Linked DNA regions of Nothobranchius furzeri. The protein of the gene in region 2 purifies or fractionates together with the protein of the main gene of each other region. This does not show direct contact. Links are inferred from orthologs where the notes say so. Each region holds a gene or a part of one and is shown on either strand. Other genes may lie near its edges.

Evidence for each region.
Region 1: the proteins of neurl4 (region 2) and mapk6 purify together in Homo sapiens (affinity purification with mass spectrometry; 6 studies listed by BioGRID and IntAct, counting the BioPlex papers as one, with this or other methods). This does not show direct contact. The link is inferred for Nothobranchius furzeri from reciprocal best matches to the Homo sapiens genes NEURL4 and MAPK6.
Region 3: the proteins of neurl4 (region 2) and znrd2 purify together in Homo sapiens (co-immunoprecipitation; 4 studies listed by BioGRID and IntAct, with this or other methods). This does not show direct contact. The link is inferred for Nothobranchius furzeri from reciprocal best matches to the Homo sapiens genes NEURL4 and ZNRD2.

Annotation. Positions count from the first base shown.
Region 1 is NC_091749.1:41,770,353-41,774,002, forward strand, and holds part of mapk6 (mitogen-activated protein kinase 6), read right to left. Parts: intron 2,537-3,650; coding exon 2,392-2,536; intron 2,034-2,391; coding exon 1,869-2,033; intron 1,747-1,868; coding exon 1,551-1,746; intron 1,344-1,550; coding exon 1,226-1,343; intron 915-1,225; coding exon 1-914. UniProt on the Homo sapiens protein: Atypical MAPK protein. Phosphorylates microtubule-associated protein 2 (MAP2) and MAPKAPK5.
Region 2 is NC_091742.1:53,442,451-53,446,100, forward strand, and holds part of neurl4 (neuralized-like protein 4), read left to right. Parts: intron 1-56; coding exon 57-472; intron 473-552; coding exon 553-664; intron 665-748; coding exon 749-837; intron 838-903; coding exon 904-976; intron 977-1,048; coding exon 1,049-1,322; intron 1,323-2,883; coding exon 2,884-3,065; intron 3,066-3,141; coding exon 3,142-3,227; intron 3,228-3,304; coding exon 3,305-3,467; intron 3,468-3,543; coding exon 3,544-3,650. UniProt on the Homo sapiens protein: Promotes CCP110 ubiquitination and proteasome-dependent degradation. By counteracting accumulation of CP110, maintains normal centriolar homeostasis and preventing formation of ectopic microtubular organizing centers.
Region 3 is NC_091750.1:56,222,078-56,226,485, forward strand, and holds znrd2 (protein ZNRD2), read right to left. Parts: upstream 2,804-4,408; 5' UTR 2,725-2,803; coding exon 2,709-2,724; intron 2,375-2,708; coding exon 2,223-2,374; intron 1,682-2,222; coding exon 1,597-1,681; intron 1,455-1,596; coding exon 1,015-1,454; 3' UTR 726-1,014; coding exon of another isoform or gene 713-725; 3' UTR 340-712; downstream 1-339. Other genes in the region: leucine repeat adapter protein 25-like, read right to left, coding at 1-89, 713-725. UniProt on the Homo sapiens protein: Might play a role in mitosis. Antigenic molecule. Could be a centromere-associated protein. May induce anti-centromere antibodies.

The DNA.
Region 1 (3,650 bases), on a different chromosome or scaffold from region 2:
AGGAAGCCGTCATCCAGCTCTTTCACCACTGAGGGCTCCATCTCAGAACTGGTCACAGTCTCTGCAACTCCCTCCTCTTTGCGGCTGAACAGGTGGTCCAGGTAGCTGGTGTAAGTGCTCTCCTTCTGGAAGTGGTCCACGTTACGAATGTCCCAGCATGCTTCATCTATCAGACATCCATTCTCCCCGACTATTTCCCCGGAGCTGAAGTTTTCCCAGGGCTTAGCGGGCCAAACGCAGTCTGCTGCAACAACCCCTAAACCACCTCCGCCTAACTGGGCAAGGTTTACCAGGCACTTCTCTTCCTTCTCCTGACTTATGGTCTTTGATACGGAGCTGGGGCGAGGAGCCTCCAGCTGGGAGACAGAAAAGTTGAGCTCATTCAGAAGGCCTACTTCGCTGAGCAAAGTCACCTCCTGACAGGGCTCAGGTTGCAGGCTCAGTTTAATGGTGCTGGCAATGAAGGAGTCAAAGTCAAAGCCTTGGTTCTGTTGACTTTGAGGTCTTTCGGTCTGGTGTTTTTCTTGTGCACTGTCCTTCTCTGCATGGCTCTGGGTCTTCTCAGCCTCCTTCAGAGCAATCTGGGCTTTAACAAGCCCATTCTTCTCACACTTGCTCTTGGCCTTGCGGTCTGCCTTCTCCTTGCTCTGCTGCTCTTTCCAGTTGGAGAGGTCGATGATGAGCTTGGGTTCGTAGTAGTGGTTGACTTCACTGTCCCTCCAGATGAGGTTGTCCAAATAGGAGGGTGACACAGCCTTGTAGTTGCAGGTGTGGCTACACTGCACGTCACAGTATTTATTCTCATGATGGTCTTCCTGCCAAGATCGCTCTGATGGATGGCGACTTGAGTAATCGAAGGATGGCTCGTCCATAAACTTCTCTCGATCTCCATCGGTGTATTTCCGTGGATCAATCTGGATGTAAACAACCAACCAACTCAAATTAGTAACATAAAAAAGGCACACAACTAAAAGTCTTTACAAGGACCTGGGGCCACCGGGTCCACTCATCGAGATCTACCATCATTCAAATTTTACCACACGCCTGATTTAAATGAAGGAGTGATCAACAAGCGTCTGCAGAACTCAACATGGTGAGGACTAGGTGGTGATTAAACCATTAGACTCTGTTGCTGAAGCAGGAAACGTGTAAAACACGCAGCATTGTAGTCCTTGAAGATTGGAGTTGAAGGCCCCTGACATGCATGTTGACAAAAGAAACATACCTGTACTTCCTCTTCATCTGTGACATCAGAGAGAGCTCTTGGATCAACCTGAACTTCATCTGGGTCATGGGTGCTGTGCAAGTGCCAATCAGCCTCTGAGAACTGGCTCTCGTGGTATCTGTTACAACATGGAAGGAGGACAATTTAGTCAACAAAACACATCGAATGACAAAAAAATCTGATAACAGTAAACAATGATATGTTCTCATGGGTCAAAGTTTAGATTGAAGACAGCAAAGCAAACAGTTACACCCCCCACAACTCCCTTCCTTAAAAAGGCTAATCTTATATTTCTATGTGGTTCGTATGAAATGGTCAGACATACTGTTCCCAGGTGTGGCTCTGGCTCTGATCCATGAGCAGGATATCATCTACTTCATCCTCAATGTGAAAGGGGTGCAGAGAGACGGGCTCATCCAAGGGGAAGGAGTAGTCAGCCATATAGGGGTGGGCCAGGGCCTCCTCTGCAGTCAGGCGATCCATGGGGTTAAAGGTGAGGATCTTCTCCAGAAAATCCAGGGCTGCAAAAGAGGAAAATGCAATTGTTTAGAGGAAAACAGAGGATCTGATGCATGAAGGATCTCACCAGACCACCTTACCCCCAACTCTGAAAGTTCTTTTGAATATATAATGTTGAGCTCACCCTGTGGACTAATGTCAGGCAACAGCTTGGCCAGCGGAGTGTGAGGCTTTGACATGTCACTGCGAATGAAGACAGGGATGACGCTGTGGAGCTCTTGCCGATCCTCCTCTCTCAGAACAGGGATGGATTCCAGGATCAGCTGCATTTGCTCAAGCTCATGTGCTCCTGAAACACCAGACGTTGGGTCGTTTCTTAGAAAGGTTACACAACATTCATGACTGAGAGGGTTTAGAAAGTCTAAAAGTGGCAGATCATGGGAGTAAATATGCCTCGTGCCCAGCTCAGGGAGGGTTTACCTAGCTTCTGCTAGATTTGAAAAAGTGAGCACTAAGAATAGTGAAAGCAAAACTGTGCTTCATCTATCTACCATCTCACCTAAACAGATTTAAGCAGGCAAGACAAACACACGCCTCAGACCAGTGCTACAAATTTACCTCTGACTTACACAAACAGCTTTAAAAACACTGTTCTTCTATAAGTTTGAAGACTGGATGCTAACACATGAATCCAAGTCAACATTTACCTGCAAAGAGTGTTTTCCCAGTGAGCATTTCAGAAAAGATGCATCCAGCCGCCCACATGTCGATAGCTTTGGTGTAGTTGTTAGGAGACAGCAGCAGCCGTGGAGATCGGTACCACTTTGTGACGAGACCTTCAGAGAGATGGCCCTGTGTCAGCAGGAGACAAGAAACATACGAGCCTTTGTTAAAAGAACAGTGTGATTCAGACATATTACACTATCTTTGGTTTCTCAGCAACCACTCAGTGATTAAAGTCATAAGTCTGCTGTGGGCCTCAAGCAGCAATGGTGATGACCATTTCCCCCACTAATTACCCGGTTTTCAACACAACAATAAGATCGTTCAGTTTTTTTAAGCAGAGTTAATTATCAGCAGTCAGTCTTCTGCAGCTTAAAAAGCTCCAAATATGATCTAGTTTGAAGCATCAGGCTGAAGCTCTCGCAGGGGAGTCGAGCTAACAGCTAGGCGGATTGGGGCCAAGACCAAAGTGAATTTCTGTCGTCTTAAAACAACTCGGGTCCCTAAAACCGTGTAGTGGTTAACGTGTCTGCTGTTTTCCACCACCACTTTGCAATTAGATAGTTCTTTACATAGAAGCCTATGGTTATCGAAGACCAGATGGCATGGTTGGTGTGAAAAGCACAGCAAAACAAAATGTTACGTATTACAGGTCAGAGTTAGTGATGACAAAGTAAGTAAATGAAATTGCTGTTTAACCATCTGAATGAAGGAGGGGTCGTTTTAAGGTGGCAGAACTCTTCATTTCTGGTCCCACTGACTAGCCACTAGCACAACCCCCGTTAGTGAAGTTGATTAATAATTTTTTGTGGTTCTTCATTATACACTAAGCAAAAAAAAGCTTTTTACCTTTGCCGACATGTTTCGACGTCTACTGCTGCCTTCGTCAGAGCAACCGCCGGTGTTCGTGGCGTCATTCCCGTTTGTTGCCACCAACGACAGCGCTGACATCAACAATGGCGGTTGCTCTGACGAAGGCAGCAGTAGACGTCAAAACATGTAGGCAAAGGTAACGCTTCTTTTGCTTTGTGTATAACGAAGAACCACAAAAAAAAAAAAAAAAAAGAAAAACAGAACAAACCTAACAAAGATGAAGCTGATAATGTTCTGAACTCTTTCTGCTTCAGCTTTACTGAAAACACCAGAGAACATTCACAAACCTAAACTACCCTTTACCAAATATGAACCAGACTCTTATCGGTGCTGAACTCCAAAACTCTAGGTTACCTCGTTGACAGATTTT
Region 2 (3,650 bases):
AGATGTAGGCTGCTTGGATCGGCGCTGACAACCATTCTCTTTCTGTTTCTTTGCAGTTCTGACGGAGCACCAGCTCTTTGACGTGTTCAACAATGCAATAGTGTCTTTTTATCGCTCTGAAGATGAGGGCGGAGGAGGAGGTGTAGAGGGAGGAGGAAACGCTGGGACTGACTCCTCCTCCAGAAACGACAGAGGTAGCAGCAGCGGAGGAGGAGGAGGGACGAACTGCGACGCCGGAACAGGAGGAGGGAATTCGGACCACAGCCCAGCCAGTAATGCGGGAGGGGTGGGATCTGGAGGCGTGACGGGCGGCATGACCACCAACGACGCGCTGCTGTTCCACGAAAAGTGCGGCACTCTGATTAAACTGAGTAATAACAACAAGACGGCGGAGCGGCGGCGGCCTCTGGACGAGTTCAACAATGGCGTGGTGATGACCAACCGGCCGCTCCGGCACAACGAGATGTTTGAGGTGTTTGGAGTCTCGTCCGTCTCACCTCCACATAGAAAACCAAGCGGAGCTAACAGAACAGCGTTTTTATTTCCAATTAGATCCGCATCGATAAACTGGTGGACAAGTGGTCGGGCTCCATAGAGATCGGCGTGACGACGCACAACCCCAACAACCTGGACTATCCCGCTACTATGACCAATCTGCGCTCAGGTGGCTAACAAACCCTCCAGACTTTTGTTTTAAACAAAAACACGAGCTTTAATCCATGAATGGTTGTACTGTCTTCTCCCTCAGGTACAATCATGATGAGTGGCTGTGGGATATTAACCAACGGGAAGGGAACCCGCCGGGAATACTGCGACTTCAGTCTGGACGAGCTGCAGGTTTGAGCCGACAGAGACGGAAAAGGTCGAGCTGTTTTACCTCTTTTTAATAACATCTAATCGTAGGAGGGAGACCACATCGGGTTGATGCGTAAAGCGAGCGGTGCGCTCCATTTTTACATCAACGGAATCGATCAAGGTGAGACGCCTAAACAAGTCATGATGTCACGCTAAAAGGACTTCCTGTCCTAACCGTGGTGTCATCATCCAGGGGTCGCAGCGGCCCAAACCCCTAACGTGGTCTATGGTGTGGTGGACCTCTACGGCATGGCTGTTAAAGTCACCATAGTCCACAACCACAACCACAGCGACCGCCTCAGACGCAACAACGCCATCATGAGGGCTCTGTCGCCCGACGTGGGTCGACCCCGGCCCGCCCTGTCCTTCACTCCAGACGCGGAAGCTCCCGACCGCCTCCTCTTTCACCCCAACTGTGGCCAGAAGGCGGCCATCATCTGTGACGGCAGGACGGCGCTGCGACCGCAGTGAGTGCTCGTCCTCTCTGGTTTATGATGGCTTCACTTTTATTGAACTATTTAGTAAAAATGCACAGATTTATGTTGATCAGTTTCTTAACTTTTGTCACTAATAATGAACCTAATGATGATAACGCAAGATGGAAGCTGTTTGCAATGATCTAAACTGACAGTTACAATGTTTTTGGAAGAAAGTCTTATTGGGGAATGAGTCCAGACGTTGTTTAGGATGCATCAGAAGCATTCATGAGAGGTAGAATTATATTTTGGTCCACACAAAGAGAGACTATCCGAAGTAGGTGTGCACTGATGGCAACATTTAGGCCGATGTTGCCGTTATGGCCAACGTTTTCCAAACGTGATGATCGCCGTCACATGACCAAACAAATGACTGACCACCAGCACCCGCCGTCCCAAACCTGTACACAAATACCACCTAAAGAACTAAACATTGGTTGTTGATATCGGACCGATACCGAAGAAAATGACTATCGTCGACCCGTATGCCAACGTTAAAGCTGATATTTTGTGCATCCCTGGTATAAACGTCAGAACTTAAAGTACTGGTGACACAGCATAAAGGAGATTTGAATCCAGACTGCAAACTGGGAATATGAAAGAGGTACACAAACTTTGCCCAATTACAGACAAACAGCAACAGGCCTACCTGAGATCATTAAAAAGGCTAAGATCCCAAATGGCCGTAGGTGAGGACTGGGCCTTGCTTTCTGGCTCAGCTCCTTCTTCACCGGTTCAGTGTCCGAATCGTTGCAGACGCTGCCCCAATCCGCCTGTCGGTCTCCCGCTCCCTCCTGAGCTTTGAATAATGACTGAAAGAACAAGATCGCAGATACAAGCGGCCGAAATGAGTTTTCTCCACGGGGTGGCTGGGCTCAGGCTTGGGGATAGGGTGAGGAGCCGCTGCTCCTCCATATCAAGAGGAGTCAGTTGAGGTGGTTTGGGCATCTTGTTAGGATGCCTGCTGGACGCCTCCCCGGGGAGGTGTTTCAGGCACGTCCTGCCGGCAGGAGGCCCCCGGTCGACCCAGGACATGTTAGAGAAAGTACATCTCCGAATGCCTACTGGAGAAGCTGGTGGAGGTGGCTGGGGAGAGGACGGCCTGGAACTCCCTGGTTGAGATGCTGCCCCCGCGACCTGGACCCGGACAGGCGGGAGAAGACGACGAGACAAGAAGATCCCAAATGGTTTTCCTGATGACTAAAATCTGTTATAAATACTACCAAGCTTAGTTGGCCCACCCTGTCTGGAAACCAAAAATAAAAAATGCACTGATTAGTTTCTTTGGCCGATTCCAATTTGGGATTTTTCTGTTGCTGATTTTCATTTTGAAAGCTTATGATTTCTCACAACATACTCAAGTTTATCAAGTAGGTTGATTTGAAAACTATAAATAAACTCTGATGTGTTTTTACGAAACCGATTCTGCTTTCTGAAAGCTTTTCACTTTCTCACAAAGCGCGCCAAAAGGAAAGGAGTAATAGATTACTGAAAAACAAGTTTTCCACGTTAAGCTCAAATGAACAATAATAAGGTGCTAATTTAACAACAGTGCAACAGATGACTTCAACCACGGTGTGGTTCTGAGCAACCGGCCGCTGCGCTCCAACGAGGTGTTCCAGGTTCGCATCGACAAGATGGTGGACAAGTGGGCGGGCTCAATTGAGATTGGTGTCACCACACACAACCCCGCCTACCTTCAGCTGCCGTCCACCATGACAAACCTGCGCTCAGGTGAGAGAACAGCAGAGAACTTTGTTGGTTTGTCGTCTTTCTGAGGAGGTCTGATGTGTGGGAGGATGCTTTCCAGGGACGTGGATGATGACAGGAAACGGAGTGATGCACAACGGAACGACCATCCTGGACGAGTATGGACACAACCTGGATCGGCTCAAAGTAAGCAGGTTTTTGTTCGTTCAGCTTTCTGTAACTCACCAGTTTTGTTTTAATTCTCTTTTTCCCTTTGCTCTCAGGCAGGCGACACCGTCGGCGTTGTTCGGAAAGAAGACGGCAGCCTTCACTTCTTTGTGAATGGCGTGGCCCAGGGCCCGGCAGCATGGAACGTCCCGCCCAGCGTCTATGCCGTGGTGGACCTTTACGGCCAGGCGGCCCAGGCCACCATCATGGATGACATGGGTGAGGACCAGAGGGGGTGATACCGTATGACGTCACGTCTGTGATCCCTCTGACTGTCTGTCCTCTCTTGTCTCAGTGGACCTCCCCCCTCTGCCAGAGGACAGCTCAGAAGGCCCCACTGCCATGTCCCCAGGGAGCCCCTGCTCAGTGGTGGGGGCCACCACAACCAGCGACCTGCGCTTC
Region 3 (4,408 bases), on a different chromosome or scaffold from region 2:
GCAGATGGGGGCATTCACCGGTGGTCCCCTAATGAGACACAATGCATTAATGTCTGCCTTCAAAACCTTCCTGATGCAGCTAATTAATCCTTATGTCAGATTAATGAAGACACTAGCCAGTTACTTAGGTGGTTTCTGAACAAAGCCTGATGGTTTAAAACGCAACAGTAATATATTTTCTGGACTGGATATAGCCGATTTGATCACTACATTTATTTATTTTTTTTCTACTAGATTTGCTCAATTTGATCAGTTCACACGTTTTTTATCTTGTTTCTGTTTAAATTAGGACATGTCATGTAGTCCAAACACAAAATGGCAGTGAAATAATTCAACAGCTTCATCACAAACACTTTATATAAGAAAAACTGTCAGTTTCCAAAAGGCTTCAGATTAGCGAGTTAAAACGAAGGATTTACATGAAAGTTGCACATTTGAGAATAAACTTTTTATTTAACCACCTATGTGCTAGCATGTAAACCGGCGCCCTCTGGTGGACAAAATGATCATCTACAGAGCAGAACTGAATTTATTCTAAGTCACATAATTAGAAAACGGATCACTAATTTTTTCAAATATTAAGTCCTAATAATGTACAGCGGGAAAGGTGTGTATGTTCTAGATTAAATATGAAAATGAAGATTCTGAGTCTCAATTTAAAATTTGAACTACAAAATGTCCTCACAGACACACTATGTTATTTACATCAAACCTTTTTTACTCATCAAACGATCAAAGACAACTAAAGAAAGTCGATCTGCTTTGACAACTGATGAATGTTTGTACTCATAATTTACAGTTTGACAAAAGCAACATACTTCTACCATCGGCACACCTACACTTTTTCAAGAGGAACTTGAGCACATTTGAATTGTGATCCAATTTCCATTTAATTTGAGCTTTAAGCAAAGAATTAGGCAGAGAGATAAAGCCGACCCAAAGTTTGTACCCTACAGCAGCCAGAACAAGAAAAGATATTCCCGTCACTCCGTAGAGTCAACCAGTCTCCTGTGGTTACTGGCTGAGCTCCTTGAGGCTGCGCAGTGAGCTGGCGCAGCTGGTGATGAGGCTGCAGAGCTGGATGCTTGCCTCAAGTGAGGATGAACTCTGTAACTGGGTAGTGGCCCAGCGAAGTTTAGTAAGAACTGCTTCCTCGGCTTCCTGCAGCACAGGTCGTAGAGCGGCGCTCTGCGGACTGACAGGGGTACGAATGGGAGCTACGCTTGGGCTGGAGACAGGAGCTGAAGGAGATGGGGCGGGAGGTGGAGGCAGGAGGGCTCTTCCTCCAGCAGCAGCGCCCTCACAGTGCTCTGGTCGGGGTTGAGGAACCGTCACCCCTGCCTGACTGCTGCTGCAGGGTGTCTCGTTGAGTTGAGAGGCTTGGGTCGGTGGAGGGGACTGAGCTGCAAGCTGCTGCTCTCTCACCTGAGACAATGCAGCCTGAGCATTCAGAGCTGGAAAACGGAACAAAGAGGTGGGACTGAAATATGAACTGGAGAGATTAAATCCTAAAGACACCACAGAGGAACCAGCTGCCCTTTTTTAGGGCCTAATGAGCTCCAAAATCAGGGGAGAGCAGACACAACTGGCGCTCACCAGGGTTATCTTTGTCGATATCAGAGTCCAGCTCCTGACACGAGACACAGTAGTTCTTCTGCTGCTTGTCCTGTAGAAGAATAGTCTGAAAACACACACACGAATACACACAATCACTTATATAGCCATAATTATGTTTTATAATATTTGTTACTACTTCAACTTCAGGACAAACTACCAGAGGCCCAAAAAGAACAAAAAAACACCACTTGAAGTCAGTCAACAAAAGATGTTTGGACCTAGAAAACAGTGACCGGTGTTTAGCGCCATCTCTTTTCCTCTGGCAATGCAGGTTCCTGTTTCCGGCCAAGGACAATCGCTGATGGGAGGGGTGAGCGTTCCTTGACAGTGTTTGAGTTTAAGCTTAGCTTGTTTTGAAGATTTGCTTTTACCTTTTTTAGTGTGTCATTACAACAAAATGATAACCGCAGTTCTCTTAAGGTAATTTGAATAAGTCAGTAAGTAAACATTTTGCAAAAATACTTTCATAAAACAAAAGATAAATTCCTTATTAATGCTTAGGCTCTGTCCTCAGCAGGGAGGCCACAGAGAGGTGCAAGATTGCTGTCAGGGTGGCACTGGCCCACCCTGGACCCACCCCAGAACCGCCTCGGGCCTGAACTCACCCCGCAAGCATCGCAGCACTCCCCCAGCATCTTGTAGCCTTTTAGAAGGTAGTCTCCCATCAGCTTGCTGATTTTATCTTGCCGTTCCCTTCGAGCTTGGATCACCTTCATCTCCGCCTCACATGGAGGTTCCCACTCAAAGTCCTCTTCATCTGCAGGTCAGCAACAACGGAGTAAATTAACTGAATCGCACCAGTGCAAAGCTACACAACCAGAAACACAGCTTTAATATTTACGCGTGGTGATTTATTTTCTCGTTGTTTGGCTGAATTTTTATCAAAAGGGGTCAGGAAATGACAAGTTAGCCAGAAATACAACGCTGTTATCGTGGAGATAACACTTTCCCCGGTGGCGATGAAAAATATTACAATAAAAATAAAAATACCGCAGAAATCACCGCTTAAATGAGTGCCAAACGACGTAAGACACTAAAACACACAGTGAAACGGCAAAGTTAGCAAGGAAATAACAGTTAAGTTCACATACCTCCATTCAAAGCCATGTTGCTTCAGTGCTACACGTTCTGCGTGATGACATCAGGCGCTGTCGTCGACTTCCTCTTCGTTCATCAAACTGAAACCATGCAGCGGGTTAGAGCGCCCCCATGTGGGGGTGATGCGCATAGACATGTAGACACCCGGCGCTGGAGAGCGTCACTGTGTCGCCGCCATATTGGATGGGTCTCCTTACTGTCCAAAGTCAATGCAGAGTGGACAAATTTGCCCGTTTTTTCCAGCCTACCATAGCTATGTGTATATAAACCATCGACATATACATGATATAAACACTAGTTGGTGAAAGCGAGAGTTGAGGGCGTAGCTAAACGGCGGCCATCTTACCCCAGACAACAGACCTCTGCTCTCAATGGTAGCAGCTGGAAGGTGAGCGATCAGCTTGATGTAAAACAATCTTTACTCGATTAAATATTAACACATTTACAAGCGATTTGCCTTGATACAAACCTTAGAACACATAGGCTTGAGATAACATACTTGCAAATGTTAAAATAAACGGTTTTGCTTTTGAAAGTGACTTAATTGTGAACCATGTGCCCCACCTATAGGCTATTTGCGTGTTATTCAGGTTGAGACCACAATAAGTAATTTATTTGGTTTTACAAAACCAATAACGATTTTACGACAGCCAATTATTTTTTGTCCAAATGGCTGTGTTTGGGGATTTATTTTTTTATTTTTTTGTATTGGCACTGGAGCCTATCTCCAGCAGTCAACGGGCATACAGGAGGGGTACACCCTGGACAGGTAGCCAGCAATATATATATATATATATATATATATATATATATATATATATATATATATATATACATACATAATTTAGCCTTAATCTATTCCTGTTCTGTGAAATAGGTTTTGTTTAGAGATGTTTCAAGATTATTTTGAGGTAAGCCCACATAAACAGAACACATATGCAAAATGTGCACCCCAAAAAATAAGACAACCAACATCCAAATTACATCGGTCAGCTAGAATGGGCCGCCAGCAATAAAATGTAACCCAGCTAATTATTTTGTATTTTCACTATTTCTCGACCTATTTATTGACTTTCTTTTATTCTGTCATGAATCGTGTGTTTGTCATGTGTTTATATACATATCTATGATTGCAACAACTGGCGTACTATTGAAAACAGATCACATGGGATTACTATGGACCTTTCTAGCCTACCTGATGGAATTTTATATCTTAATTTATTTCATCTACTTTTAATTATTATACCATACCATGTGTCTGATTTCGTGAAAAAAGCTTGATAAAATGTGATTTCAAGTTGGATAAGCACCTTCCTCAGTAGAAATGAATGCACTGGGGTGAATGGAGGCCCATCTAAGATGGCATCCGACGTTTGCTTATATATGCCTGTGGTGATGTATGTATGTATGTATGTATGTATGTATGTATGTATGTATGTATGTATGTATGTATGTATGTATGTATGTATGTATGTATGTATGTATGTATGTATGTATGTATGTATCTATCATCTATCTATCTATCTATCTATCTATCTATCTATCTATCTATCTATCTATCTATCTATCTATCTATCTATCTATCTATCTATCTATCTATCTATCTATCTATCTATCTATCTATCTATCTATCTATCTATCTATCTATCTATCTATCTATCTATCTATCTATCTATCTATCTATCTATCTATC